Nothobranchius furzeri: one gene and its partner. The protein of the gene in region 1 interacts with the protein of each later gene in a pairwise test. Links are inferred from orthologs where the notes say so. Each region holds a gene or a part of one and is shown on either strand. Other genes may lie near its edges. The genes, in order: rxrgb and mpped2a.

The links.
Region 2: the proteins of rxrgb (region 1) and mpped2a interact in binary tests that used the Homo sapiens proteins (3 or more experiments, as listed by UniProt). The two-hybrid records come from large-scale screens. The link is inferred for Nothobranchius furzeri from reciprocal best matches to the Homo sapiens genes RXRG and MPPED2.

Annotation. Positions count from the first base shown.
Region 1 is NC_091748.1:54,257,772-54,268,251, reverse strand, and holds the start of rxrgb (retinoic acid receptor RXR-gamma-B), read right to left. Parts: upstream 5,552-10,480; 5' UTR 5,383-5,551; coding exon 5,148-5,382; intron 1-5,147. UniProt on the Homo sapiens protein: Receptor for retinoic acid. Retinoic acid receptors bind as heterodimers to their target response elements in response to their ligands, all-trans or 9-cis retinoic acid, and regulate gene expression in various biological processes.
Region 2 is NC_091749.1:52,336,399-52,346,390, reverse strand, and holds the end of mpped2a (metallophosphoesterase MPPED2a), read right to left. Parts: intron 6,358-9,992; coding exon 6,242-6,357; intron 5,176-6,241; coding exon 5,062-5,175; intron 2,139-5,061; coding exon 2,020-2,138; 3' UTR 546-2,019; downstream 1-545. UniProt on the Homo sapiens protein: Displays low metallophosphoesterase activity (in vitro). May play a role in the development of the nervous system.

The DNA of each region.
Region 1 (10,480 bases):
AGTAAAAATCCACTTAGTCAAACTTTAAATGACCTATTGTAAAATAACTTGGCTATTTTTATTGTAAGCCAAATGGCTGACTCAAAAACAGAAGTCAATATGAACACAATGAAGTCATCTGAAAGAATGGTTATTAGTGAATCTCAGTTGGTATGTTTGGACCAGTTTTTAAAGAAAATAATTAGGGATGCATGATATGTCTGCATCAATATCGGTACCGGCCGGCGTTAGCCGTTTTTTAACATATCAGCATCGGCCCCATAAATAAAACTGGGCTGATATGAACAACCCGCATTTTTTCCATCTTGTCTATATTTGTTTATCTGTTTCAGAGGGGAGTGATGTGTATTTGTTTAGTCATGTGACAGTGAGTGTAATCATCTCAGAAGTGTAAATGTGTGTGGCGTGTGTACATAATTATGTAAATTCAGCTTTATTCATGTTCATTCTATACAAAATCTGCTGATTTATGAAGCAATAATGTCAGTATATCGGTATCGGTAAATATCAATAATGGATATCGGTATCGGCTCAAAACTTTCCTATCTGTGCATCACTAAAACAAAAGATGTATTATTTTAGTTAACTACTGCATTTTTAAGTGAAGGAGAACTCAAGAAAAAAATGTGCTTTTATGGGTGAGAAGTCATTTAAAATATTTGATGTATGTTTTGATTTTATGCTTTTGTTTTTACTACTACTACTACTCCTACTCCTACTAATAATAATAATAACAACAACAACAACAACAATGATAATAATAATAATAATAATAATAATAACTAGATTTCTTGCAGAAATGCTGTCTGAATGCTGGATAGCTTAAACTGTTAGCTGAATCAGCTTAACCCTTTGATGCATAATGGTCACTACAGTGGACAGATACTCAAAATGGTTATTTATTTGTTTTTGCTATTAAGCACAGCTGTTGAAGACTTTATTGCATTTGAGCCCCTCGTTTTGGACTTCAGTAAGCCAAGCCAACATATTTCATGCTCAGAATGCACGCTGTCCACTGAGGTGGACATGTAATAAATTATTTGTAAATTATAAAATTTTACAAAAAATATTTGTTGAAATTTGTTTCATTCACACCTAAAGATGAAAGAAAAAAATGTTAAAAAAATCATAGTTGAAGATTTCATAATTCATGCATCAGAGGGTTAATAGCTGAACTGAAGCTGAAAGTAAGCAAAACTGTCAAAATGAGCTGAATGTGTTGAAAGATGTAGAAGCAAAAATCACTAACAAGCAAATAAAGCACAAAAAGTAAGTGAAGAATGGAGAAAAATGATCCTAAATAGCAGAAAACTGAAATCTGTGAACATTGTATAAAAATCTGAACAGCTAAAATGTCTAAACACTTGTAATTTCAGTTGGACAAGTTTAACAGTTTAATCTTTACATTTAGCTGAACTGTGAAATTAGCAGTTTATGCTAAATTTGGTAACTGATTGCTGAAGCTGCTGAATATCTGAAGTGAAGCTGAAACTAAGCTAAACTAGCAAATGAGCTGAATGTAGTGAAAGATGTGAAAGCAAAAAGCATCAACAAGCAAATAAAGTACAAAAAGTAAGTGAAGATTCAAGAAAATTAATCCTGAACCGCAGAAAACTGAGATCTGTGAACATTGTTTAAAAAACTGGACAGCTAAAATGTCTAAACACCTGTTATTTCAGTAGGACTAGATAACAGTTTAATTTTTACATTTAGCTGAACTGTGAAATGAGCAGCATATGCCGAATTCAGAAACTGATTACTGAAGCTGCTGAATAGCTGAAGTGAAGCTGAAAATAAGCTAAACTGTCAAAATGAGCTGAATGTATTGAAAGATTTAGAAGCAAAAATCACCAACAAGTGTATTAAAGCCCAGAAAATAGGTGAAGAATGGACAAAAAATGCTAAACAGCAGAAAACTTAAATTTTCGAACACAGATTAAAAACTCAAAATTTGAAATGTTAAGCAGCTGGCATTTGAATGAGAATTGTTTAACGGGTACATTTTTACAATTGGCTGAACTGTGAATTTAGAAACATTTGCTGATATCTGAAACTGATAGATTAACATATATATATGTTCAGACTTGGTATGGGATGGATGAATGGTTGCATGAATGAAATGACGGATGGATTGTTGGATGGATGTTAGATGGTTTATTGGATGGATGGATGGATGGATGGATGGATGGATGGATGGATGGATGGATTTATATGTGGATGGATGGATTCTTTAGGCAAAGCCGATCGATTTGATGTCTCACATGTGTGGGTGTGTAAGTCCATTTAGCCAGAAGATGATTGACCTCTCTCAACCAATCAGGGAGCTGGGAGAGAGCGGGGCACTTTCCCACCTTCTGGCGGTCAATCAAATTGAACTTATTTCTAGTTTTAAGGACAGATAGTTAAAAAAGATCAAAAACAGGAGTCTGTTATTGGCTCAATATTCAGCTTTTTATATTCATTCCTATGAGACTTGGTCAAAGTGATTTGTAGTTCCTTGTGTTGCCATGGTAACAGATGACAGGAGTCTGCATTAATAAAGCAATGTACAATGTCACATGACTCTTTTAAACTTGGAATAACATTTCTATATTAAAGTATGTTGATACAGTTGTGTCTAAAATGTTGTTAAATGTTGTTGCTATGCACGTTGCCATGGTAACGCAGAACACAGTATCAAGTTAATACAATACTCCTGGGACCAAGCAGGTTGAATTGATGTATCATATGTGTGGGTGCATATTTCCTTTTGGGCAGAAGACGATTGAAAACTCTCAGCCAATGAGAGAGCAGCGAAAGAGGAGGGGGCGGTTCCGCTTTGATGGTCATCTGTGTGAATTTTCATGTGCCTACCATGAATTGTCTAGAAGCTATGACGAGAACATTTTAGCTGTCTGAAGCCGATCGGAGGAGGAAATCTCTGTTCCGTTAACATGGGTTTCAATGAGACAGAATCAGGGTCTCTCCTCCTTCCAAGGTTTGTAGAGAATGAAATGTAACACTTAAGGACGAAATGAAACCCATTCTGAAAAGCTGACAAAAATTCCTACTTTTTGTGATATAATTTGTGTCGGTTCTCCAAACGGTCTGGGGGTTGGAAAGAGTTGTTTCCAGAAAATGTGAAGGTCAAAAGTTAGAGTGTGGAATTTTCAGTTTAGAGTGGAAGAAATTTTTTTTAAATTTTGAATATTGTCAAAGAAATGAACCGTACAGCCACAATGTTTGGAGTACATTCGTGATTTATAGCTCAAAATGAAGGTATATCCGTTAGCTGCAAGCCAGCATGCGTCTCATTTCAATCGGACTTACGGGTTTCTCAGGACAATGCCAGAAATGGAGCAAAGGAGGGTCATTGCTCCTATCTCTGCCCATTATAATTTTAGTGAATTTTTCTGAAAATCTCAAGTCGTACCTCAACTTCTACCTGTGATTTTAGAAAAACTGTAATAGATATCAAAAAGATTTTAAACCATTAATAGCTGAAAGTCTTGTGAGGTTGTTGAAACTTGAATGAAGTCTCTAGGTTAAAGTTAACCTATAAGAGTAAGAGCTCAAAAAAGTGATAGGATTTAGCTGAAAATTGAGCAATCCCATTCATTTCAATGGGACCAAAAATCGCAGAAAAAGCTGAATATCTCAAAAAGTATAAAATATTTTAACACCAAAAGTCATTGCCGGCATAAGCTGGACAAGCTGAGCGTTTTGATACCAAAATTATGTAAATAGTTGAAGAATTGTGGAAGTAGATAAATGCCAAAAAATGTATGGAAGCAGAATAATAAACTAAATAACTTACTAACTATAAAGAGAAACAGGATCACTACATTCAAACAACTAGAAAATTCTTGAAGAAATTTGAAAAGGGACCTGCCCACTGGTACAAGCTAGTGGCCATGTGTTAGGCCCAAAATCATGTTACTGGGGTGACCTTAGGGTCAACCCAAACTCTTGATTTTCCTGTGACGTAGGGGTAAACAAACACCTCCCATGGACAAGCCGGTTGTTTTGATGTAACATTTGTGGGTGTGCACATTGTGGCCTGAATGGCAGTGGACAACCCCAGAAATGTTGGCGCTAAAGCGTTAATGAACACACACGTACCGAGATGAGAAATGAGAACAAATTCTCTGGTGCATAACAGTAAGGGACCTGCTGGCAGAGCAGAAGGGTCCCTTAATAATAATAATAATAATAAGAAGAAGAAGAAGAAGAAGAAGAAGAAGAAGAAGAATTCCTATAAATTACATTAAATGTATAAAATAAAATAAAATCCAGTCCCCTTTGTGTTGAATTCATCTTGCTGGGTCTCATAGTTATATGGATTATAACAAGGCTGTGTCTACTGTCCAGCTGCAGAACAAACCAGAACAAGAGACCCTCATAAAATCAACAAGCAGCACATGATCTGCCATCAAAGACAATTTTTCAGGCCAATGAACATCCTTGTGGTTTCCCGTTGAGATGATCTACACTCCACAAGCCTCTCACAAGCACACTTAGAAGCTAGCACCAACTTCACAAACATTCATTGACAATGAAGCCACTTGAAATAGGCTAACCTGTTCAAGTGAGCGGACCTTAATGCATGCCACTCCACAGCAGGAAAGAGGATAAAGTCATCAGGGCGAGCATTGATGGAAGGCTACAAGGTGACAGACAGCAGAGGCAAACAGAGAGGCAGAGCTGCATAGAAAGGGTCTAATAGGAAGGGACAAGTGTTGAGAGTTAAACAGATAGTGAAGGACAAGGCAAAGGGAGCTAGAAGCATCCTTTTAGGCTGAGTGACATCCCCGCTGAACGCATCTGAGACTTAGAGTGAGTCACGAGCTCTCAGTTCTAACGCGAAACAGCAAAGCCTTGTACCTGTCACAACTGGTTAAAATGATCCAATGATTTTAAAAGCACAAATGGAGCTGCGGGAGGAATGAAAATGGAGGACTTTGATATGATTTTTCAAGCAAAATAAAGTCTTTGCATTAGGGATTGAATCACTGTGGTCATGCAAAGAATATCCAACGATTCTCACACTAACTCCTTGGAGGCAACATTACTTTAAAAAATGGTTACAGCATAGAATTTTAAAGCTTTGCCTGTGTGTAAAAATCAATCTTGTGATCATTTAATTTCAAATAAGACCATCTACTCACAGCGACAACAACCTGTTTCTCTCCCAGGGCTGTTCCCAGTTGTAGGTGATGACACAGATCGCCACATGCCTTTGATTTCAGTTGATGTGGAGCTGGCAGAACGCCAGTTACATCGACTGGCTGTCAGACTCGAGTAGTGGTTTGGTGGATCCTCAATTAACCACTTTTCACAAGAGGACCAAAAGGATCTGATGTGGAGAAAGAGGGTGTGTGCTGATGAAGGCAGTGGGTGCATGGGGCGTGACACTGAAAAGCAAAACAGGCAGAGTCCACTGGTGCCAGTTATAGGATTACCCAGATTATCCCTCCACAGAGATCAATCCCAAAGGAACAGTTTGCAGGCTGAGCGCTGCACAAATCAGCTCGCGCACCACCTACTCAACTCATGTCTATCTGTCTGCACAGAGGACACCTGTTGTAGCTGCACAACCGGAGGTGACAGGCAGAGAGGGGGTGGGTCGAGGGGGTGGGATCGTACTTAAAAAGAGTCCAGAACAAGCAGAAGAGTCTGATTACCGCCTCATAAAAGGGATCAAGGCTGGAGAGAAGACACGATGTCAACCTTGATGTTGCCAACGAAGAAATGCCTTCTTGTTTTCGTTCTCTTTTTCTGAGCAGAGTGAAGAAAGTGGAGGAAAAGATGGAAGCAGATGTCAAACAAATCCTGCTTCATCTTCCTCCAGACCCCCTATCATGCAAAGAAATAAACATGGCTGCATGCATGCTGAATGACATCCCCGATGGCATGTTGAGTTGCTTGTGTGTTGGGTTCATATGTTTGTGTGTTTAACGAATGTTACAACATTCCAGGAAGTCAGGAATTGTCCTTTTGCCAATGCTGTGGGATGGAGAAGAAAAAACACGCTGCAAAAGTGAAAACCCACATGCAAGCATAGGCCAAAAATATGACTAGAGGCAACCGAGAACAATGCCTTACAACCCCTTAGAGGAACCTAAATAAGACTACAAAGCCCATGATGTGAAATATGATCCCTGTTTATGGACCGCATCCATCAGAAGAAGCCTTCAAACAAGTGTAAAACAGCGCCTTAATGAAGCTGAATGAAATATTTGCAATGCAAACAAAAAAAAGTATCAGCACAGAATAAATGTGGAACAGACTGGGTAGAGTCTGCAGATGTTCTTTTTTCCTTTGTCATCAAACCTATCAAATGTTCCCCCTCTGCATTGAAGTCTATAGCTTTTAAAACTTGAGAGGCCCTCCCTGTGTGTGCATGCAGGGCTACACAAAGTTTTCTTGTTCTGGACACCTGCACGTTGCTGTAACTCTAGTAACCATATCCTCCCACTGACTGTAGCTTGGCAAAGACAACTAAGCAGCCTGGCATGAGCGTAAGACAACTTAGCAGGGATGAAACACTTTCAAATTCAGCAATCATCACAGGGAGAAATTATAATAATCTATTCATTCATATGATCTAGCTGTGTTATGATGGCCCACATAGAACATGTCAAATGAACCCTGAGAGCCCTAATTATAAATCATGCAAGTATTGTGAAGAAAAATTAAGTTATAATTGGAATCCCTAAATTTAGGGTAGAGTCCTACATGTTTAATCTCCGTTTGTAATAATCTAATCAGCAAACGCTTATCACAGGAGGAAAAGTCTCTTTTTACAGCCTGCTCTCCCTGCCAGCACTGACTTTTTATGAAAGGGGTAATCACATTGGGCTTAATTTGTACAAGACCATCAGGACGTTGAAAAGAAAAAAAGGAAATTAAGATGTTCTAAACCAGGGGTAAGCAATCCTTGTCCTCGAGTGAAACCATCCAGAATGTTTTAGTTGTTCACCTGCTCTAACAAGCCTAATTCAATGGTTGAATCACCTGCTCACAGGTTTTCAAGCTCTGCAGAAGCCTGCTCATCACCTACTGATTAAATCAGGTGTGTTGGAATGGGGAAACAGCTAAAACATGCTGGATGGCGGCACTCGGGTACTAGGACTGCCTTGCCCTGTTCTGAGCTGACACGAGTGCTTTTGTCCACCTTTTAAAATTTGATATGTGACACTATTATTTAAAGAGGCTCACATCAGGGATTGAAGCATCATTCTTCTAAATATGACAAGGCATTCAGATCATAAGTGCTACCTTCTCAGTGGTCATACTTCAAAAATGGGACCCAATGCCTCCCTGCTTGACACTCAGCTTTAACGGGTTGGATTGGGGAGTTAAACAACCAAATAGTTCCTGAGCACAGCCACTACTGCAGCTCAACGCTGTCACGTTGTGGGTGTGGAGATGATGGACCAAGTGTGGTGGAGCAGCTCAGGAGTCAAAGATGCAGGCTCGGATAAAGTAAAAATGATTTTAATAACTGAGCGGGAACGGCAGGACAAACACAACGCTGACAACTAACACACACAATGATCTGACGAAGACTGGTACAAGGAGGGAGGTATAAATACACAGGGAAATCAGGAACACATGGGCAGGTTAACGAGGGGCAGGTGAGAACAATAAGGACTAATCAGGGCAGGAGAGAGACACAGTCAGGAAGGCAGGGGCAGAACGTGACAACCGCTCCCCACGGGGATGGGTCAAATGCAGAGATGTCACTTATACATATATATATATATATATATATATATATATATATATATATATATACATATATATATAGGTAAGAGACACCAACACACACTCAAGCCATTGTTTGAACCATGCGCAGTAGTGGTGTGTATTGGCAAGAATCTGCCGGTTCAATATAAATCACAATCCAGGGTAAATAATACCGTACTGGACTAAAAGCCGGGCAATATTTGCATATTTTAGGACCAAATTTAAATGATGATGAGGATGAGGATGATGAATTTAAATTGAAACCTCAGGTCAGGCACTTAAGACACATGCAGTGTTATCGCAATATCACGTTGTTTCATTAGAATGAAGGCAGCAAAAACTGCTGCCAACTAGTGGTCGGAGTTTGAATTGCACCACACAAAAGAAATGCAGTAAGTTTTTTCATGTAAATTCCCCTCAAAAACTTATTTTCTACTTTTTAATATTGATTCTGTATCAAAAAAAATATTGGGATATTTCATTGTAGAAATATTTTATTACATACCTAACAAACCCCAGCATTAAAACAAAGACATCAAAAATAATGAGTAGTCTCAACAGACATGGCTGAGAAATTAACTCACAACAGAAACATCACAACCAATCAGCTAGAGTAGAAAACATCACCACTCTGTAAGCATAAGCAATGTCTAAGGAAGAGCGGTGCTTTCAGATGGAGGCATTTTTCTACTGGAGAAACAGGGTTTGCAATATATAACGACTAATATTGCTTATTTAAAAGTAAACAACCTGAAAACATACTTTGCAAAGTTGCATGATGTTTTCTGATTTATTCCTTTGTAGCTGAAATCCTTCAAAAATATAATCATATTCAATTAGTTCATAAATTGCCTGGACAGAGAAGTGAAAGAGTCAAGAACTCTATAAGTGTTTAGAGAATATATTAGATCGAGTGTGTTGGGTGGATATGAATGTGAATAATGGCTATAATTGAAATATGGACAAGGAACGTGACAGAATGAACTTCGAGGGAATGCATAAAGATAGTTTTGTTATTTTTGTTTTAAAAAAGGGGGCAGAAATTATAAGACTTTTTCTTCCATCTGCTCCCTTTCATTCAAGTTGTATTTGTTATATGTATATTGTTTATTTATTTGTTGTATTTTTTAAATGAATGAAATAAACATAAGAAAAAATTCTAATAATGATACTAATGATATATAAGTAACAAATGTTTACAAACAAAACTGTACAAGTCGCCTTATGAAAATGAGCGTGTAGCAGCACACTAAAGTAAAACTAAATAGGGCTGTGTCAGCTTTCATTAAGAATGCATCAATTCCAAATACATTCTGAATAAATCAGTGCACTGGGGATTCTCTGGAAAAGTAAAATAAACTAGTAACCAACAGTGTTCCCTCAAGGAATAATTTTGTAGGCTCGCCGTTGTAGCTGTGTGTGTGTGTGTGTGTGTGTGTGTGTGTGTGTGTGTGCGTGCGCGCGCGTGCGTGCGTGCGTGCGTGCGTGCGTGCGTGTTTACTGCATAATTACCAAAGAAATAGCTTAATGTATCTCATGACTGAGTACTGCTGCAGCCTGCAGGGCTTTTCCAGGTTCTCTGCTTGATTAAAGCTGGAATTAAATCATGGCTATGACCTTCTTCACTAATGACTAATTACTGGCAATTAGCCCTGCGAATGGCCTCCTTACACCCCTTCTTTTACTCTCATCTTCTTCTTCTTCTCGGGATCAGCACATGCACTCACATAAAAAAGCCGTTGAGCTACAAATGCACACACCCAATCAAAAAATGACACAAAATAGGCCTTTTGTATGTATTGTGTACCATTACATGTGATGAGGCACAACAGGTCTCAAGCTAGAGAGCTTGAGTAAATACCGAGCTAGAGCCACACCCTCCCTACCTGTGGTTTATTTAATTCTGCGGGGGCGGGCGGAAAATGATCTGTGCAGAGATCTGCATTAGCGAACAGGTTTTAATGCTGCAGAGAGGCTTGTAAAGGGACAACCCACATTTTTTAGGTCACATGATTCTATCGCGGCTCTTCAATCAGTTGGCATAGTTGTAATAATTTTTGCATGGTTGGGTATGTATGTCTCTCTCTCTCTCTCTCTCACACACACACACACACACACACACACACACACACACACACACACACACACACACACACACACACACACACACACACACACACACACACACAGCTTCTGTTTGGGTGTAGGAGATGAATCAATGACCCCTAGAAAGTGACAATGGTTCAAATAAACTGTGGAGATATTCCCCATCTCCCAATTCCCCCCAAACTTCTGTTTTTTTTGTTGTTGTTGTTGTTGCTCCCTTCACTTTTCAAATGTGTTCTTCTTTCTGTCATACTTTCCTGATCTGCAAGCTAAATGAGTTCTCCCTGTCAAAAGCACCAAGAAGGTTCTCGTCAGCTTGTCTAGAATCACTTCCACCAACAAAAAAATAAAAAATGCTGAAGTGCTGAGAGAGAGAAATGCTGATTCCATTTCCTAAGCCCTATGGGCAGACCTGCATGAAACCTGCTGAAACGCAACATGTCTGGGGAAAGCTGGAGAGGAGGAGGAAGATAATCGTGACACAATTCGTACATAATCACAGACTTGTTTCTTGACTCCACACACTTCAACTTCATGCTTATTTCAGATTAGAAAGGCTGGCCGAGTCAAAGCCCAGGAATGAGGACTATGTATTGCTCTGTTTTATACGGCACGTGGGCTGGACCGAACATATTTTACAAAT
Region 2 (9,992 bases), on another chromosome or scaffold:
ACCTCATTTTGAGAACAAGACCCTGTACCTCATGGCTATCTAACACATTACTGTTTATGTTGAGGCCTAACTTTTCCAGGCGACGCTACGCTGATTGCTACGAGTCAAAATCGTTTTCCAGAAATTGGACCTTTCTGTTTGCCGAACCTGAACATGCTGCATTTGAAGGGCTGGAGCTCAGCTACTCCATCAAAAGAAACAGGAGCCGCTCGCTGCATGGCAGCACAAAACAGAGGGCTCGGGCCAAGTGGAAGGGCCAAGGGGGGAATTGAAGCCTTTCAAAACGGATTAATCTGATATCCTCCTCAAGACTATAAAGAATAAGAGCTACTTAAAAAGACGAGCAGCCGGCCGATTCTTCCTTTTCTTCACATTGAGTCGACATGTTCTCACTCTCTTAAGAAAAAGGCTTTCCAAAAAAACTTTACACTAAGGTAACAGCAATGAAACAGTTTACAGCTTGTTACGTCTCTGATTCTCAGTGAAATTAGAGCCAGGTGTTCAACAAGACACATGAAAGACGTTAAGAACCAGATTTTCATATGTAAAAATCTTGCAATTTTATTTGCATATAAAGGCAGCTAAATATATCACAATAAACTGAAAGAGAGAACTAACGTTTCCGTGAAGAAGGGATACAATCAGAGGAGGAGGAACAGGGCACGAAAAGAGCATTTACAGCTGTCGAAGACAAGTTCAGACGACTATTGGCAACGTTTTTTTGTGCTAGCAAGATTGCATTTACACACAGTGCAAAATTAGAAAAAAGCAACAAAAAACAAATACTATCACTTTAAAGGACATCTTCTCCATGTTTAGGCAGGTGTGTTGTAGGAACAATCAACACCTGTGGGATTGTGAGCGACAGATTTTCCTCTCATTCAAAATGAACTTCTACAGGGAGAGCCATTACAGAAAACATTAAAGAAACATCTGATGAGAGCATAAAGATACAGAAAATGCACCTGTCTTTTTTCTCTTGTCAAACAACTTTTACTACAGATGTGTTATAAGATGAATATATAATATATATATTTTTTATACATACATTTCCAAATTAGAAGAGAAATCCATAATGAGATGACCGAAAGCGAAACTTGTGGCTGTGACTGATAACGATCCGTCCCTGCGTCAGTGCGGTGTTGTTCTGCGGGGATGGTGGGTAATAAATAAGGACTTTTCTCTGAGCTTGCAGAGAGGAGCTCTAGCTGAGAACATTAAAGCTAGTTTAAGGCAGCGTCCCTGTCAGCCAAAATAAAAAAAGAAGTCACAATAAATCAAAAGGAACATTTTTAAAAACGACACAACGTTAAACAATGGTGTCCATTGTCTGGCCAACGCAAACAAAATGTCAAGGAATTGTACAAATTAACAAAGCATCATTTATTTTACAGTTCTGACCAATATTTATCAAGAGCAAGATTGTTTAACCACAAAATCCCAGAGAAAAGGAGAATACCGGCGTCAGCCAGGCTCAGCCGGCCTGAGTTCACGGCTTCGTGGAACACGTACACGTGAACATGTGACACAAAGGATTAGTGGCGGTTTGTTTCTCTGTGATCAGGTAATCGGTTCTTCTGTGCGAGTTCATGTGTCACTTTCGTTTGGCGCTCTGCTCTAAGGCATCGTGTTTTTAGCTAGTTCGCTGCCTTCCTGAGGATGACAGGAAACAGAGAGTGAGATGAAGACTAAACTCTGCTCAGTAAAATACAAATAAAAGCACGTTTGTTGGTGGATTATCTCATTTTGTTTTCCACCTGAGAGTGAATCTGAGCAGGAAATCAGAACTTGGCACGGTTTAGAAATAAAACACCGGTATTCTCCTTTAATGCTCCTAGTGAACCCCCACCCCACCCCACCCAACAATGTCCTCTCCATCTCAACAACAGCTTGGAGAAGAGCAAAAAAGTTTGTTTTTTTTTTAATTTTTTTTTGCAAAGAAACACTTAGAATTTTTCTGTAAGTTGAAATATTTATAGAAAAGTCGTTGTCCATCCAGCCCTTGACAGTCCTCTGGTCTCAGGAGCTGGGGGGGTTGGGCAGGTCAAAAACGATGGGGGGGTTGGTGGGCTGGAAGCTGACAGTGCAGGTTGACGCGTTGATGAAGGTTGTGTAGCCGTCCGTCATGATCCCGTACCCTGGGACAGGAGACAGAGTCAGACTGGAAGTTTAATAAACGATCACGGGTCTGTGAGCGCCGGGTTCAGCGCAGAAACCATCAGCAGGAGTCTCCATTTACAGCTGATTACAGTATCAAACCTTTAGGAAGTCACTGATGTGTGGGAGGTTTGGCCTATGCGGCGACGTAGTGGGTGATCAGAGCTCACCTCTGTGGCAGATGTGATACGTATCACCGTACGCTGCCATTGTTTGAACTCATGAGAAATGCACCAACAGCTACAGCTGACTTAAGGAGTCAGTCTACACGCTGAGAGTTAAAGCAAAACAAAACAAAAGATTGAGTCTAAGAAAACAAGAATCTGTTTTACTTCCTCATATTTACAAATGATAAATGACCCGCACTTGTATAGGGCCTTTACACTACAGCGCACCATTCATCCATTCACACGCTGGTGGGGATGAGCTAAGATGATTTGGGTGGTGACTTTGTTGCACGTTCCTGCGGGTCAGAAACTGTGGTGAGAAGCGAGGTTCACAGAAGGGTCACAGAGATAAGGGATCAGAACTTGCTTCTGGGAGTAAAATTGGGCAGAAGGTCAAGAAGAGTCCGACCCGAAACAATAGGAGAGGTAAGCATATTGTAATTACAGGTTCCTGAATTTTCAGGACTTGCTTTACAGTTTGTGACAGATTAAGAAAAGAAACCTTAAGTGAAGAAGCTAGTCTTCTCCTCTCCCGTGAGTAACGAGATATCTTAAGGATTGATAAGCCAAAACATTAGTAGGTTAAAATAGGCTCTGTTTGCAAGTGTGAAAAAGTCTTTGCCAGCGCGGGAAGGTTGGATTAATTAGATTAATTGATAAATCTATGTTAGCCTGATCAACTAACAAGAATCATTTTATAGTAGCCACCGCTCACAAAAGCTGACAGAGGCGCAAATTAATCCTAATATAATCCAAATAATTGTCAGAAGAATGGCCTGCTTCTGAACTTTGCCCTAGTATTTAGAACCACTAAATAACGGGAGAAACTAAAAAGAAAGTAAGCTATCAAAAAAGAAAAAAGTACGGCATATCATTCTCACCTTAAAATAGGAAACTGATTCTAATTAGGAAGTCCAAACCAGGGTCTAATACAATAAAACTCAACGACGCCCCACGAACCCTGAGAAAGCAGTGCAGTCTTATAGCAGGGTATATACAGCAATCCTTAAGTAAAATTTACTACTTTTTAATACTTTTTTTACTACCTTCAGAATTTTTTTAAAACCATCACAACACTAAATTAAAAAGGGTTAATCAGCGACCTATTTACACATATTTTAACATATATAACATACAAAAAGAATAGACTTAGAGACTCACTGATGTTGACAACGTATTGCACATATTTATTTTACTTAGAAAATAAGCCAGGCACTTCTGTTCAGCGGTTCAGTTGACCACGAGGCCTTAAATGATGCACAACGACCACTGAATATGACGTCATCATTATGTGACCGGATATGCTAAAGTAGGGCTGCTAGATTATGGCAAAAACAATAATCACGATTATTGTGACTGAAATTGAGATCTCGATTATTTAAGATGATTTTTCAATTTATGTAGATTTTTTGTTGTTTTTATTCAGTCATAAAACTGCTCAGGGCACAATCAGGGCAAAAATAAACAAGAAACAAGATGATCACTAAATTAACTCCTGATTCCCAGGATAAAAAGACCAATATACTTATAGCAAATGACCCAAGGGCTATAGACCTTGGTTTAACTCATTTAAGTCTAACCAGTACAGACCCAAATACCAATATCTTGCAAATACTGACAGCAAGAATTATACAGTGGCATTTATAACAAATACATGCAAATTGATGTTCACTAAATTTTGCATAACATTTATTTAGTCGTGTCAAGGTGCTGTAGGAGAGTGCACTAGCACCGTGTCCTCAGAGAGATTAGTTATTATTTATCAGCGTGAGGAACTTATTTCTACCTTATTTATAAACTATTTATTTACAAATCCATCAGTTAATGTAATAATTGTCCCAAACACAGCTGCACCCCCCACCCCCCCACCCGGTCTCACAGCAATCAGGGGCAAGCTGCACGTGTGTTTAGCATGCTGCACGCGCACATTTAGCCGTTTTTATCGGCTCAGGAGTCCGCAGGTGCGGTGTGTGTGTCACTCACTCTGGTTAATCCAACATGGAGCCGGCTCTGAGAGCCGTTTCTTTAGCGACCGACACATCACTACATCATTCCCTTTCCTAATGTCCTGAAGAACGGTCCGGAGTGCAGGCGGAGTGTTTAGCTAACCTGCAGGAAATGTCGATGACAGTTATCCAGAAAGTAGCTAAGGGTTACCAGAGATGTTTGAGGTGTTCGCTAGGTACTTTTAAGATTTAAAAAATCAAGAAGGGGGTCTGAGAAGCTGCTAGAAATAGCGTCAAAGTCGCCAAGTTGGCAACACTGTGGAGGAGCGCTTCATTTGCAACTCAGGGCAGTGCAAGTGGGAGGAGCAAATAATCGGCTTGTTTTATTTTTATAATCGTTCAAAACATTTCATTCGGAATATATTTCTATGTCGATGTTCAGAATACGACATCTGATATTCTGAAAAAATAATACCTAATTTGGAAAAAATAATACCTCTGAGACCAAATTTAACACTTTTAATGGCCTTAAATTTGACTATTTTTATTTATCACTTTTTAATACTTTTTAAAACCCCGCGGACACCCTGTATAGGTTCTAACGGAACCAGGTTTTAAAGGAACCGACAAATAGGACACGCTCGCGACAACTTTTTTTGGGCCAAGCATTGTATCCGATTTAAATTTATTCTCCTTTTAAGTATCCTTCTTTGAGCATGGAGCAGTTGGCACCTCTGTATGATTACACACACACACACACACATGTGCAGGGATCTTAACATCGCCAGTACCTTCATGTATGCCTCCAAAGGCATGAAGTTTGGGTCGCACCCTCTTCTGAACCGTGTTGAGCAGCTCCACACAGCCGACCCGCTGCAGCTCTTTAGGTACCCAGTCTCTGAAGCCTGTACACACATCCACAGGAAACATTTTACAGACAGCTCTCTCCATTTTCTAAGGCATCTCCATCACTTTGGACCGGTCCTGAACCCGTGATGGACACATCTAACAAACAACCAGAGCTAAATCTGAATGTGGCCACAGGCTCTGACTTGTGTCGGTTTCAGGTTTACCATCTTATTTTAGAGATAATTCTGTTAACTCAAAGTGTTTCTGTAGAAGTTATAAATAATCACAATCTTGCTTCCTGATGCACCACGGGTGACTGTTCAGCCAAATATTTACAGAGGAATTATTATCAGAGCCTAGCAGGTCTCCTGTTCCCGTTTGGATGGATTTAATGCCTTTTTTTAACTTCAGTTCAAACTCATAAAACTCAACCTTGACAGAGAAAACATGCTGACATGCCAGCCTTTTAATTTAAACTCAACATTCTGCCAGATGAATCCGTGTCTTCATATGTCTACCTCACTTGTGCAGCCCCCAGTCCACCATCATCAGTGCAAGATCTTGGTGAAACATTAACACCCCCCCCCCCCCCCCCCACCCCAATTGTCTGTCTCCCTATATTTGGAGCTGGCTCCTCCCTCCAGCGCAGCCGTTCTCTTGTACGGTCCCTCTCTAGTCGTTTGCAGCGTCTGTCACACCGTGGTGAAATCGAGTTTCCATGCAATCAAACAGCCACAGCGGCTGCTGCAGTAGCAGCAGCGCCTCTCCGTAGGCGAAAGGGAAGGAAATCTCTCAATAAAGCCAGATGGAGAACACGAAGGAGAAGGGAAAAAAACAACAACTGGGATCCAAACAGCTAGAAGGAAAATCTAATCATTTTGCAGTGAAAAAACATATGCACCCCCCACCCTTAAAGCAAACAAAAATATTGAATTATGAAGTATGTTTGAGTTCTGGCTGCACACACAACCGACTTTAGATGCAAAACAGAGTCGACACAGAGGCTGAAGACACACACATTCACAGCTCTGCCTCCAGACGCCTCATCCAGACTTTGAATAATGAGGCACAGCTTCATTATATTTGGCAACAAGGGGGCTGTGATTGGTTAATTGGACTCACCGAGCGGAGGTCCGTGGGTCATCAGGATGTCGATGCCCTCGGGGACAAGGTTCCATTTATCCAGCAGAGACTGACCCCGAGGCAGGTTGAACCCCCAGCCGTTAAACCACGGAGTCCTGCAGAGACGGAGGAGAGGGGGTCACATTAGCATCACTCACTCCGCCATTATTACAACATTCATCAACAATCATGTCCAAAAGCAATAAACATCACCCATTTTTTATCCTTCTTTTCAACATTTCACCATAAATAACATTTCATATTCACATAATTTGCACCCTGTGTCCCTTTTCATCAAATTACCTTCATGAATCATGTGAAGATGAACACTTTATGTCGCTAGGGTCTGCATCTGCACACGTTTCTATTTAAATGAGTTCTATCTTTACCATTAAAGGGAAAAACAAGCACATATACAATGATGCTGTGGGACATGGATCCAAAACAAACACACAGATGCTAAATGGTTCTTTACCAGTGTGGAAATGGGAGCAAAATATCAACATTTCTATAAAGAACATGTTTCAGCTGTTGCTGGTAACATTGGGAGTGCTTTAATGTGGTCTCTGTGGAGTCCTTCTGAGCGGTCAGCATCTTACCTACGGCAGACAGCAGTCAGGGTGATCTTAGTTTAGACAATCAGAGAGAAACTCACTTCTCTCTGCAGTTTTTAAAGTTTCAGTTGCTTTAGATTGCAGAAAGTTTGCTCAAAGAGTTTTAACACTTAAAGGTTTTTCTTTTAAAGTGGTTTCAGCGACTCTTGAAGCAGAAACTAGACCAAGTGTACACTGGTAAGCCCTATGTAGCCCTCTGCGGACCAGAAACTGCACTTAGTTTTGTGGCTCAGGTAGATGCACTAGGCTGAGGCCTTTACCTACTTTAAGGAAATAGCCATTTACTGAGATGGTAGCTAATATAAAGGCTAACAGTTAGCCAACCATCAAAAAACTAAAGAAGCAGACGTAAATAATTTAACTAGACGTCATGGTGGAGCCTGGAAGTGAAAGAATGTAATGTTTTTGAGAGTAATGTCTTTGGAGGCGAAGCAAATCACTAAAACCAGAGTAAACATTGGTGCGACCTACACCCATCTGAGGGAGCTGAAGGAAACCACAAACTGATGGTGACCTAGCTTTGTTGCTACTGGACTTGTTTCTTTTTCTGTCCAACAGTGTGAATCTTTTAACTTCGATTTATTCAGTATCGCTTGGCTTGTTTTAGAGTTAGCTTGTTGTTAGCACTACAGGCTGCAGCGGAGTTGCTTACAATAGTTTTAATTCCACTTTCAACCACTGGGAGGGAGATACTGGGAAACGTAATTAATGTTTCTTTAAATGAGTTCTGCTTTGAGCAGTTCTAAGAGAGTTCTTACCTGATTCTCCAGTCTGTCTACAGCCCGTTAAACACTACAAACTCAGACTGCAAATAACTTTAATGAGTCAGAAACCTTTTATTTAACGTGAAACCAGGAATGGTACCGATATGTTTTCTCATCATAAATTAAACACACAGGTGTATACAGGAGAACTGGTTGTAATATATAAAAACACAAGATGGTTGGGCGATCTTTCAGCACATGCTAACGAATCAGATTGGTCATCCATGAACTGTGAAGGCCTGGTTCAATCCGACGGAACTAGTGCTTTTACATTCCAGCAGTCACACATTCATTTTAGCAGCTAAAACTGAACCACTGACTGCACAGAACTGGTAGAAAGGAAGAAAAGTGAATTTCTAAACAGCGGGGAGCCACATCATGTGTCAGCCGCTTCTCCCTCTGCTACCCGTCTAAAGATTGACTGACAGCAGCCGGGCCACCTCCAGCAGCCTGGATGGGAGTCTGCATCTCTGGGGTGACAAGCAGCTTCTCAGCCTCCTCCGGCACACACAAAGAAAGCCTCGGTCTGGCTGAGTGGGGATGAGGAAAGGATAGATAAGAGTCAGAGGGTTTAAACAGATGAGGAAATAAAGTGTGGGGGTTGGATGTAGGAGCAGAAGTCGTCAAAACCAACGGGAGGAAAAGAAATTGAGAGGAGGCTAGCTGAGGAATTGAGCTTTCATTTGTCACAACAGTAGTAATGGCTGACAAGTGAGGAAAAAAAGACGGATTATCATCACGTAATACCTCAGTCAGTATACAAGTCAACCGACATCAACAAACACAGGTTAAAATTAGATGTTAACTTGAGGCTTGCAGCTAAGAGGGGCCGAGCCGCTGATGAAAAGACTTGAGCTCCATCATGTGCAGAGTTCAGAGCAGCTCCCGGTCACTTAGCGATGGCACCACGGATGGTATCTGACCGAAGGGAAATCAGGGCTCCACAAACATCGATAGGCTGTGTTACAGTGAAGGATGGACGCTCCAGCACTAATCAATACCGAGTGTTCCAGAGGAGAGAGCCAAGCGGGACCGACCAGAGGCAGAGCGGGCCCCAGATGTGTAAAACATGAGACCACAACCCCCTCCGGTTCATTTCTAAAACACAACCAACAACCTAAAATATCACCACAACAATGAAAAACACCCATCATTCAGAGTGCTGAGACAAACGGGTATTATAATGCAGCACAGGCACCTGCTCCGAGTGTTAAATGTTTGTGCACTCTGACTGAAAGGCGGCGGCGGACCTGAAGCTCACTCTTTGATTTGCTCGCTCAGTCGTTGCCTTGTTCTCTCGCTCAGTGGAGAGCTGAGAAATGAGGTTAAAAATGAAATGTGAGGAGCGCGCAGGGGAGCGAAGGCCACAGACTGAACTGATTAATTAGAACTAATCACACAAATCGCAGCTAATGGAAGTCTAATGGATTATTGAGAAGGCTCGCCACTTTTCAGATGGAAATAGCGCTGCTGCTGTGGAGGAACTCAGCAAACAGTGAATCAGAGCAGAGCTGGCCCAGTCAGCTGGATGCACACAGAAAGCAGCAGCAGGGTATTCATCTAGCTCTGGGTTTGACTAATAGCCACAAGGCCAAACTTTGAAAAATGACCAAATGCAATTGTGCCCCCCTTCGAATTCTGAAAAATAAATCACGCTTTCTTGCAGCAAAAAATAAATAAACAGCTGGAGCCTTAATTTTGCTTGGTGTTTCACAGGTTTCCCCCCACATAAACACATTCATCTGGGAGATGAAACATAACCCCCGACATGAGCCGTGGATCCGGAGCCGACCAAAGGTCCTGACTGAATGCAGAGCGGGGAGCAACAGCTCCATGCCACAATGGCCCCATTGTTGGCTGCCTGCCTATGAAATATACCCTCCATGTGAGCGCATTTGTTAACCTCCGCCTAGATTAATGACATCCCGGTCGCATAAAGGAGCGAGCGTTTTCCTGTGTGGCTGTGACAAAGGTGCCGAGTGTGAGCAGCACCGGCGTGTAGAACACGGCGTTCTGCTGCCAGAGAGGACTAACGTGTGCAGAGATCAGACAACACTCAGAGCCCAGTCTTGCCTTGACACTTGCCATCTGGAGAGCGTCACCGTAGCAACAGAGTAGCGACGTCTGGAGGCTAGCTCAGAGGGAAGCGAAACGCTGTCACAGACATAGAAGCAGAAGTGGGAGAAGCAGAAAAGGTGGAAGGAGGTGCTGACATAGGAAAAGAAAGGGATGAGTGGGGTTTTAAAGTCAAAAGCAGATTCTAACTTTCAGGTGTTTGTGTGATGCAGAACAGGAGGCGAGTGAATCAAATGGACTAACAAGGAAAATCACAAGACACGTCATGGAACGTCCTCTTTCAATTAAAACCTCTGC